2 linked regions of the Nothobranchius furzeri genome follow. The main gene of each other region encodes a partner of the protein of the gene in region 2 in a complex. Links are inferred from orthologs where the notes say so. Each region holds a gene or a part of one and is shown on either strand. Other genes may lie near its edges.

Region 1 (4,828 bases), on a different chromosome or scaffold from region 2:
TTTCCTTCTCAAGTACGCTGAAACCAACGTCTTTGATGAAAGGGGCCCGTTTCTAATGAAAGCATGTTCTGTGAGGGGCAGCTGGCAGAAGTGGGGTTTTGTTGCTAAGCTTTGAACTCCAAAAACAAATAATATCTCGGAATAGGAAGGAGACGGGGGAAGAAGAAAAAGAATTTTGGACTCGGCCACAAAGAGCAGGAAAAGCTTTGGAGGTTTTTCTGCCTTCAATTTATTGTGTCTCCCTCTCCTTCAGTTTTGCGTTTCGTCCAAAAGGTCCTTTACCACTACGACTGAAAAGGAAATGAGAAAAGCATTTGGTTAAGGTGTCAATTGCTTCTGCACAAATGTCAAGCCGTCACCCATGTATGACATGTATCATGTTGAGTATTTGATTACATGTAAGAGTGTGTACATAAACTGGCGCCTTGAAATAAATCTCTCTCCCACATCCTTGAAAAATCATTAACAGTGATGCTGATGCAGAAGTTCCTCTTTAACAGTTAGTGTGGTTTGGAGGTAAATTATAATGTTAAATGGCAGGTTGTGTGTATATGGAACGATGTCTTATGGCCTACAATGAGTCACCTGAGCGTTATATGGAAACAGCTCTCTGCATAAGTTGTTATTTATACTGTATAAATAATACTCTACTCCACATAAAAGCTTTTCTTTTTCCGGCTTTCACTAATGTCTTAAACACGGTCCGAAAACACTTGGGTGGAACTTGTTTTATTGTGGTTTTTGAATAGAAAACAGAAACTGACAATGTTGAAAAATGTGAGGTACACCTCGGATATCGCACTCTGCACTCCGACAAGTCATTAGCAAATCTGTGGACTGGCCATTAAAGAAACAAAATGTAGTTTTTACCATTAATCCCTAAATATATCCATTGAAATGTTGTTGAAAATGAATCAAATGATGCTCAGTTGTTGAAAAATATTGGCGGCCTCATAAAATATGACCATAAAAATTGGGTCAAAAATGCATCTAAGTCTCTGGGAGACACGATGTTAGATGCAAAGTTTCCTTCTACGGGAGCCCGTGAGGAAAGAAGTATTTAATGATTTGTAACAAGCAATTACAAAACTTTCACCATTCGTTAACGATGTTGTTTTACACATTTACCTCTTCACTTGTTGCCAGTGTTGACGGTCATTTTGTTGGAGGTTGAACAATCTGATGAAGTACATGATCAAAAATAGCGCACTCAGGGATTTTTGACCGTAATGACCATCCGTTGGTAAGGTCTTACTCAAACACAAAAATACTGCATGCTAGCAATGTATGCACAGCTTCCTATCACCAGGGAAAATACACACTGTCACTTTAAGGAAATTATCTACAATGCTGATCATCATTTTTATACAAAAACACACTTCAAACTGTCCAAATTATCCACTCGTGTTTGCATTTGTCATTCAAATGTTTTGTGTTAGAAGGGAGGAGAGGTTTCATTTGCCAGCGCTGACCTTATCTATGGAGTGCCACAAGGGTCTATTCTTGGCCCTCTCTTCTTTTCCATAAATTTACTGCTACTTGGTAATTTTTCCACTGACGCAAAGTGAGGTTTCACCTATATGCAGATGACTGCCCTGTTTATGTTCTCCTGAAACTTTGATTTACTAACTTTTACCAAAGACAAAACAGAGGTTATTCATTTCGATTCAAATGACAGACCCCTTGCACATCTGATTTGACCTCACTGGCCAGATGTAGGTCTATGTATTTCTCTTCTTCTTTTATGCAAAATTTTATGTAATTGTATAAAGAGTTCCCAAGGAAGAACAGCAGCAACATAAAATTGGAAACTGTGATCCATGTGTTTATAACCTCATGACTGGATACTGTAACTCCTTGCTCACTGGATGGTTCATAAGTCTGCTGCTAGATTTTTTATAGAAAAGAAGAGAGAGAGAGAGAGAATACCAACCCACTGTTAACTGCATCCACTGGTTTCTGGTTTGGTATTGAACTACTTTTAAAATTATTTGCTTTTCAAGTGTTACATGGAAAGGTTCCCACATATTTGTTGGATCTGCGAAGCAAGAAGAAGCCACCTTGCACACTTAGGTCTGCTGATCAGTGCCTGTTGGTTGTTTCTAGGTATAAATGAACCCGAGAAGGGGCCGTGCTTTTTCAGTTGTGGTCCCAAAGTTTGGGGAATGATCTGTCATTAAATTAAATCACTAACAAACTTTAAAAATAGGCTGAAAACACATTTTTACTTGTTAGCTTTTATGCTAATTTCACACTAGCCGCTGCTGTTTTCAGTATTGTGTGTTTTGGCGAATGTATTTTAACTTGCACTTTTAATTATGCAGTATTTTTCCATGTGTACTGTAAAACACTTTGGATATTCCTCATATTATTGAAAAGTGATTTATGAATAAAGCTGATGATGAGAAATCTTAATTTAATCGCCAATGAACGAAATATATTGCTGCACTTCCACAAAATGAAAACTAATTTCCTTCTTTAAAGACAAAGCCAGCAAAAGCATGCTTGCACGACTTTTGTGGATAATTTAAACCATTAAGCAAAACAATGATTGTCAGTGTTACCACACTGTAACTAAATTGCCAACCACTTACAAACTGGCATTCCCAAAAGATGGAAGATATCAGTGATTGAATGCCCTGCCAACCTCTCAAGCATGAATGAGCTGCAACAGTTATTCCCTGTTTGGAAACAAATGTCTCTGAGTGAGGCATTTACTGAGAAATTAAATCCATCGGGAGGGGAAACCGGTCAACTGTGTCTCAACTTCTGTCACACATGCACACACAAACACTTGCCTCACTGTCCTGTGTGATCTGCACCTCCTCCCCTTGGGGCACCTGGGCAATGTGCAGCTGTCCCTGTGGAATCTGAGACGAAGATAAAAAATTACTCAGAATTACAGGCACTGGGGGGAAAATTCATGCCAAATAATAACAGAAATACGAGTCATTTTAGTGACTCGTAGAGCAACATAAAGGTCAAGAAAGCCTGTTTTGTTTACCAGAGAAACAGAAAACTAAAACGTCGCTCACCACCTGAACTTGTCCATCTTCACCAATGCGGTGGAACTGAACCTGCTGATTGGCCAGTGTGTAATGCAAAGTCTGCTGGGTAGCCGTCTCAATGTGTGCAGGTTCCTCGTTCATGTTTTCATCTGCTGGCGAGGACAAGGAGTTCACAAAGAACAACAAAAAAAACAAAAAGGCGATTAAGGAGAAAATAAATCAACGCTGCTCGTGAAAGCAGCCAGTATCCTTCCAGCATGACAAAAGAATCCAGTTTTGTTTACATTAAACTAATCTGCGATAACGCATCACATACACAACTTTACAAAACAAAGCTGTCTTCCATCTGTCACTGACACCGCTGTGTACTGTATTATATAAATAATTCTCCGTACTTCCAATCACCAGATGAAGCAGGAATTGCCAGGTGGCTTTCGGAGGCTAAAGAGTTTGTTTGAACTCTAAGTGATGCAAATTAGTTAGGATTTTTAAAAAGAGGTGCCTTTTCCCTGTTCATTTGACACGTAATTTGATTAAAGACAGAATTGCTGTTTGGTCTTGTGCATGTGTGCTGCATGCTGATGGATGCATCTGAACAAGCATTTGTGCTGTGCGGGTAACACTTTATAATAACTACATCTTATTTAGTCTTAATTACACATGAACACGCATGTAAGTAACTACTAACAAATAATTAATTAACAATGACTCTTACTTAATAAACAATTAAGCAATGCATTAATTAATGCTTTGTTTTTATTAAGTAAGAGTCATTGTTAATTAATTATTTGATAGTAGTTACTTACATGTTTGTTCATGTGTAATTAAGGCTAAATAAGATGTAGTTATTATAAAGTGTTACCAAAAAATGGATTAATAAGAACTCTGTTCATGATTTGTTAATTATGAATAAGCCATAAATAAACAGCTTTTACATGAAACTAGTCATTAGAAGTTAAGCATTAATTAATGTGTTAGTCAGTTGCTTAAAAGAATTTTGTTAATGGTTTGTTACATATGAATAAGAAATGAGTAAACAGCTTTTAAAAGGGACTAATCGTTAAAAATAAAGCATTAATTAATGCATTGGTTAATTGTTTATTAAGTAAGAGTCATTGTTAGTTAATTAATTATTTGTTAGTAGTTACTTACGTTTGTTCATGTGTAATTAAGGCTAAATAAGATGTAGTTATTATAAAGTGTTACCGCTGTGCGCTGTGGGGCGTGCGTGGTCAGAAAAGGAAAGGCCTGACAATCTACCCCAAGTGTTTCCCCCTCACAGGATATTTGGGTTTCCCCTGCAGTGCAAAGCTTCCCTGGTCAGAGGTGAGAGGTGATAACTCACAGGAAAGGAGCAGAAGGGCGTCGTGTGTGGATAGTAAACATTTGAAGCACCAGACTTCTTGATATCTGGAGGGTCAGACTGCATAATAGCTTTCATATAGCTGATAAAATAAGATGACTTTGAGTTCACTGCCTGTGACTGTGCCAACTGCATAAACTGACAGCACAAGATTAATGGATTTTATAAGCATAAATTATATTCTGCCTTTTTAAAACTAAGAACGCTCAAAGCGAGTAGAGCTGTAACGTGTGGATGAAGCAGGTAGAAAGGCTTTTTTAATTAGATCTCACAACTTTCTCCTTTAAACACATCAATACATGCCATCACCGTCTATGTGATAGTGTAGCTAATCATACATAACTCCACACCTGCTCTTTACCTGCAGTGGAACTGCGGGGTGTGCGCTTGGAGAAGCTCTTGACTGCCAGACTCTGGCCACGTTGCTTACGTCTCCAGGCGGTGCGACACTTTGAGT
Region 2 (5,328 bases):
TCACTGCAGACGCCGAACCAATCCACCTGTCGATCTCTCGATCCCTCCTACCCTCACTCGTGAACAAGACCCCGAGATACTTAAACTCCTCCACTTGAGGTAGGACCTCTCCCCCGACCCGGAGTTGGCAAGCCACCCTTTTCCGGTCGAGAACCATGGTCTCAGATTTGGAGGTGCTGATCCTCATCCCAGCCACTTCACACTCAGCCGTGAACCTACCCAGCAAGAGCTGAAAGTCAGAGCTGGATGAAGCTAGGAGGACCACATCATCCACAAAAAGCAGAGACAAGATTCTCCTGCCACCAAACTCGACACACTCCACACCACGGCTGCACCTAGAAATTCTGTCCATAAAGGTAATGAATAGAGCCGGTGACAAAGGGCAGCCCTGGCGGAGTCCAACCCTCACTGGGAACAGGTCCGACTTACTACCAGCTATGCGGACAAAACTCACGCTCTTCTGTTGTCTGTGATGAAGATGAACAGAACAACACCGCAGCCTCACTGATGAACTCCTTCCTCAGCTCACAGCCCGACCCCAGACATGCAGGTGTCTGGCTGGAACAGGTGAGCATCACAGTGGAGCAAACTGAGCTTGGCTTATTTTGATTTTAGGCACTTTTTCTGCTTCAAAGCACAAAGGTAACAGGCGAGAGCAAAAAACAAGGAATAAAAAGAGTAAATAAATGAAACATAACTAAGTAACAAATACCACTGATGTGTGCTTTATTTAAGGTCCATTTGCTCGTGTGTGATTTCCTTATTCCACATTCAGTGTTTTGGTAAAAATAAGTTTGTTTCCAAATGAAAAGCTTCAACAGTACACATCTGTAGATAAAGGAAAATGTACACATTTGTCTCACTTTTAAAATATATATATTGAGTTTGGCCCGCAACATCGTCCCAGTTTTTCATTTTGGCCCAGTGTGAATTTGAGTTTGACTCCACTGTCCTAGATGGTTACTGCCCTGCATGTTTTAGCTGTTATCCTGATTCAGTGCTTGGACCACCTCATCAGCACCTCAAGTTCTGCAGGAGCCGGCTGACTCAAACCAGCTACGTTGGTACAGGAAACCCCCTGGGACCGTCTAGTTGGATTAAAAAGCCCACAGTCATATAAGAATATTTTGCTACTTTTACAGCATCAGCAGCATCAGTCTCAAAGAAATATCAAATTGGTCCCACAGAAAGTGTGGCACCAAACCTAATTCAAGTGTTGCACTGAATGTGATTAGTTTTGTGATGACAGAACAAAGAGAAGAGTGAGAAAATGGAAGTACTGTGTGCTTTAGACCGGCTGATCCCCCAACCAGTTAAATTTTAGTAAAGTAAATATCAGCTCAGCAGACCATAAAACATTAGTTTTAATTCTCGTCAGCGATAGAGAAGAAGGGTGTTAGTTTTCGTTTGTTTTTCTCTATATCTTACCATGACAGGATGGTGGAGACTTCAAGGATCACTCCTCCTTCTTGACCTTCACATCTCCATCTACAGCCAGGATGGTGGAGATCTCTCCCTGCATGAAAGCCCAAGGCACAGTGGATCCAGCCAGGGGACAGCGCTCCCCACTTGGGCAGTACACCTCCCCACCCTGACCCTGGCTGCGGATGAATCCTCGAGTGCAGGGGAAACAGAACTTGTGGTGTGGGACAGACGGACACTGGACAAAGTGTGTATCTTCCAGACGCTCTCTACAGAGGGTGCAGCAGAGCAGGGCGCTCTGTGTGCTGCTCGTGCTCTCCCCGGTGTTGGTGTTACTACTAGGCCCCATTGTACTCAGACCCTGCCCCATGGCTGCCTGGGAGGCTGAGGTGGAGGCGGTGGAGGGGCTGCTGCTGGTGGAGTGCCCAGCTCCCGAGGAGTGGGCTGCAGACATGCTGGGGCTTTCTCGAGCCATCTGACTAGAGCTCAGGCTGTCTGCAACTCCCATGAGAGCAGAAATGGGTGAAGGCTGGCTGTGTAAACGTGGCAAGCTTTCTTGAGGAGCAGCCATGCCCGGAAGAGGTTCTGTGTAGGCAGCTCGAGGCCAGGGTTCCCTTGATGGATGATCTAGTCTCCCGTCATTCTCTCCATTCTCTGAGCCAGGAGAAGCCTTACGGCGTCTGCTTGTTCCCTTTGCTGGTCCTGGACGCCCAGGAGCTGCCAAAGACAGTACAGGGTCTGGCTGTGGCAGGACCTCTGGGATTGGGGGCTCTTTAAACATGCGTACACCGTCATTCAGCAGCTCAGACAGACCACGCCAGTCTCCTGTGGCTTGTCGTTTTTCGTACTCCACGTATCTTAGCCCAGAGTTCACTGCTTTGCCTGCATCTTTGGCTGAATCCCGGAACATCTGCCTAACAAGGTCTGAGATTCCAGAGAATATGATTCCAGAGCCAGCAGGATATTCCACAAACACCCTCAGCTCAAACTCTGGAGTTGTGCTGGCATCAAAAGCCAGGACGCGACCCAGCAGGTTATGGTCTTTCCTGAAACGCACGTTGAAGGGGATGGAGTTGCTGAGAGACACAAGAACATCCCGGACTGCCTTTGGGTGGTTTGGCCAACCTTCGACCCTGCTGCGGGCCACCTCATTCAGTTCTGCCATCAGTTCACTGTTCCTCCAAACTGCTGGATCTAATCCCACAAGAGCAGAGGTGCTGGCTCCCACGCTCAAAGATACTGCCTGCCTTCTGCCAGCATCACTCATTACAGGGCCAGCTGAAACTGCAATGGACGTGGCCCCGGCTCTGGAGCCCGGTAAGGGAGCTAAAAGCCCGTGAGGAGCTGCTACTAGCCCCTGAGCTATTAAAGCATGAGATATGGAGCCATGCAGACCGGGTATTGAACCAGCGACAGCCCGACGGGTGTTCGGGCTCTGACGGCTCCCCTCAGACAAGGCCACATCTTCAGCTCTGTGCAGACCATTGGGGAGCCGAGAGGACGCCCCATATTCCCCCCTCCCTCTGTCTACACGTTCACCATGCTGCCGACCCACCTCTACGGAACCGACTGAGCTGGGCTTGCCCTGCGGTGGACCCGGAGACCTGCCATCCAGAACACCGTGAGTGCTCTTCAGCTGCCGGGCGGTTTCAATAAGCAGCTCTATCCGGTCCGCGCCGTCGTAGTTGACACATCCCCGGCACACCGCTTCGCTGAACTCCCACAGCATGGCCCACGGCATCTTGGGCAGATCGCAGAGGTAGCACCACTGGCGTCTGGAGGAAGACTGCGAGGCGGAGGACATGTTGTTTACAGGCCCGGAGACCAAACTTTCTTTAGAGGCCTACACGTTACGGTTCGTGTTTCTCGGTTATTCTTCAACCCTCGGACAGTTCGCGTCACATGCCACGACTTATTCAACAGAAACAGAGTAAAAACAACACTGGAACGCGACAAAAGTGTAAACTAACGAGGTTTTCTGTATCTGTTTGTTCGTGTGGTCTGTGTGGGAGGAAGTAAAATGTTATAAGACACCGGAAACACCTACGTGACTCAAGCGCAAAGCCTTGTGGGTACTGGAGTTTAACAGGTACGCAGGCAGTTTTATCTCTCCCCATCTTTTTACTACCGTCATCACACACACACACACACACACACACACACACACACACACACACACACACACACACACACACACACACACACACACACACACACACACACACACACACACACACACACCAGATCCCAACTCGCCAAATGTGGGATAAAGGTAAAAAAATTAATGCAAGAAGATAAAGTAAAAAAAATAAATAAACAAATATTCATCCTTTTAGCTCTAATATCACTGTTAAATATACATTAAATTATTATTATTATTTGTATTATTATTATTATCATTATATTTGTATCATTATTATTATTATTATTATTTCTGCCACACTAATATCTGAATGTCATTCCGACTAGTGTGGTCGGATCATGATAAAGAAGGTTGAGTTTCTCAAAACTTTAAATATTCCAATCTCTGTGAAAGATTACTCGATAGTTTTTGATGCAGTTCCACCTGGTTTTATTAGACTATTCCAAAACAAAACCGAATTTACAGCTAACACCAAAAGAATAATGGAATTCACATGCTGGACAGAAAACGTAACAAAACATTTTTCAAACATAAAGTTTATTCACAATGATTCCTAAATGTCAGTTCTTTTGGGAGAATACAATAAATAGTAATAATTGGTCAGTATTGCTGATAAATATATGGTCATCAACAAAATTAAAGAAGTTCCTTTTAAAATAGTTAATCAAATATATCCTATAAAATATTTTATTAAAAAATATAGAAAATAGTTAGTTGACTCTTGTACAGCTTCTGAGACAATTCCACGCCTGTTCTATGATTGTGTATTTGTTAAATATTTTTGCTTTTGGACAGCATTTTAATTTCACTTTATTGACAAGAATATGAACTTACATTCAAGAGATATTATTTTCCTTAAAAATAAAAAATAAATCTTCTTAAATGTCTCCATGTAAACAAGCTTGCAGAAATGTCATATTGGAGACTGAATAAGCCTCTCTAAATAAATGTATCACTTATGTTGTGTGATGTCTGAAGTCTGTTACATTTCTGTCTGAGGTGTTTTTTGCATAGCAAAGCTGCCCTCCCTGTGGAGGGTAACTCTGAAGTGCCTTTTTTTCCTCCACCTGACTCAGTCCTCATATAAACCCTCTGATCTCTATTAAGGTAGTGCGACGGGTTGTGAATGACCACAGTCACCAATTCTTGTCATGTGTCTTGCCTATGTATGTATCTCTGATCTCAGAATTGTGTACTGAAACTCTAATTTCCCTCTGGGATTAATAAAGTATCTTTAAATTGAATTTGAAGCTTATTTATTTTCTGTCCCTCAGTAAGCAGCTATGATCAGCAGCAACAGAGGTGATGGTACCTGCTGGATCAGCGTCACAACCTGGTGGAACATTAAAACCAAGATGAATATCTGTCATATTTACTACCTAAAACTGATGTTTTTAAATACTCCAAGAAGTTAACTTCATCCTGCTGCTCCTCTGAAATGTTAAATACACTGAACAAAAATATAAATGCAACACTTTTGTTTTGGCTCCCATTTATCGTGAGGTGAGTTTTGTCAAAAAAAAAATCAACATCATAAAAATATAAAAAACTAAATCATATTTTGTGTGTTATGTCCAGAGGACTTCTTTTGGGAGTGAATTGTGACGGCTCTAGTCTCACAAATGAGCATAAAAACAGGATTTGTGTACTCTGTATATTTTTGAGTATTGTCAGATATTCAGTAAAACTCAAACTTAGGTCCCTCACACAAAAAAATGCATTTTAGCAAAATGTTTAATAAAAATTACATATTTCAAGTCAAA

Evidence for each region. Proteins that work in one complex are often made in the same cells at the same time.
Region 1: interferon regulatory factor 2-binding protein 1 (region 2) and banp share a complex: the UniProt entries of both Homo sapiens proteins name them as parts of the corepressor complex. The link is inferred for Nothobranchius furzeri from reciprocal best matches to the Homo sapiens genes IRF2BP1 and BANP.

Annotation. Positions count from the first base shown.
Region 1 is NC_091744.1:74,152,698-74,157,525, forward strand, and holds part of banp (protein BANP), read right to left. Parts: coding exon 4,733-4,828; intron 3,161-4,732; coding exon 3,036-3,160; intron 2,871-3,035; coding exon 2,799-2,870; intron 1-2,798. UniProt on the Homo sapiens protein: Controls V(D)J recombination during T-cell development by repressing T-cell receptor (TCR) beta enhancer function. Binds to scaffold/matrix attachment region beta (S/MARbeta), an ATC-rich DNA sequence located upstream of the TCR beta enhancer.
Region 2 is NC_091750.1:43,019,786-43,025,113, reverse strand, and holds the start of interferon regulatory factor 2-binding protein 1, read right to left. Parts: upstream 3,414-5,328; 5' UTR 3,227-3,413; coding exon 1,457-3,226; 3' UTR 1,429-1,456; intron 1-1,428. UniProt on the Homo sapiens protein: Acts as a transcriptional corepressor in a IRF2-dependent manner; this repression is not mediated by histone deacetylase activities. May act as an E3 ligase towards JDP2, enhancing its polyubiquitination. Represses ATF2-dependent transcriptional activation.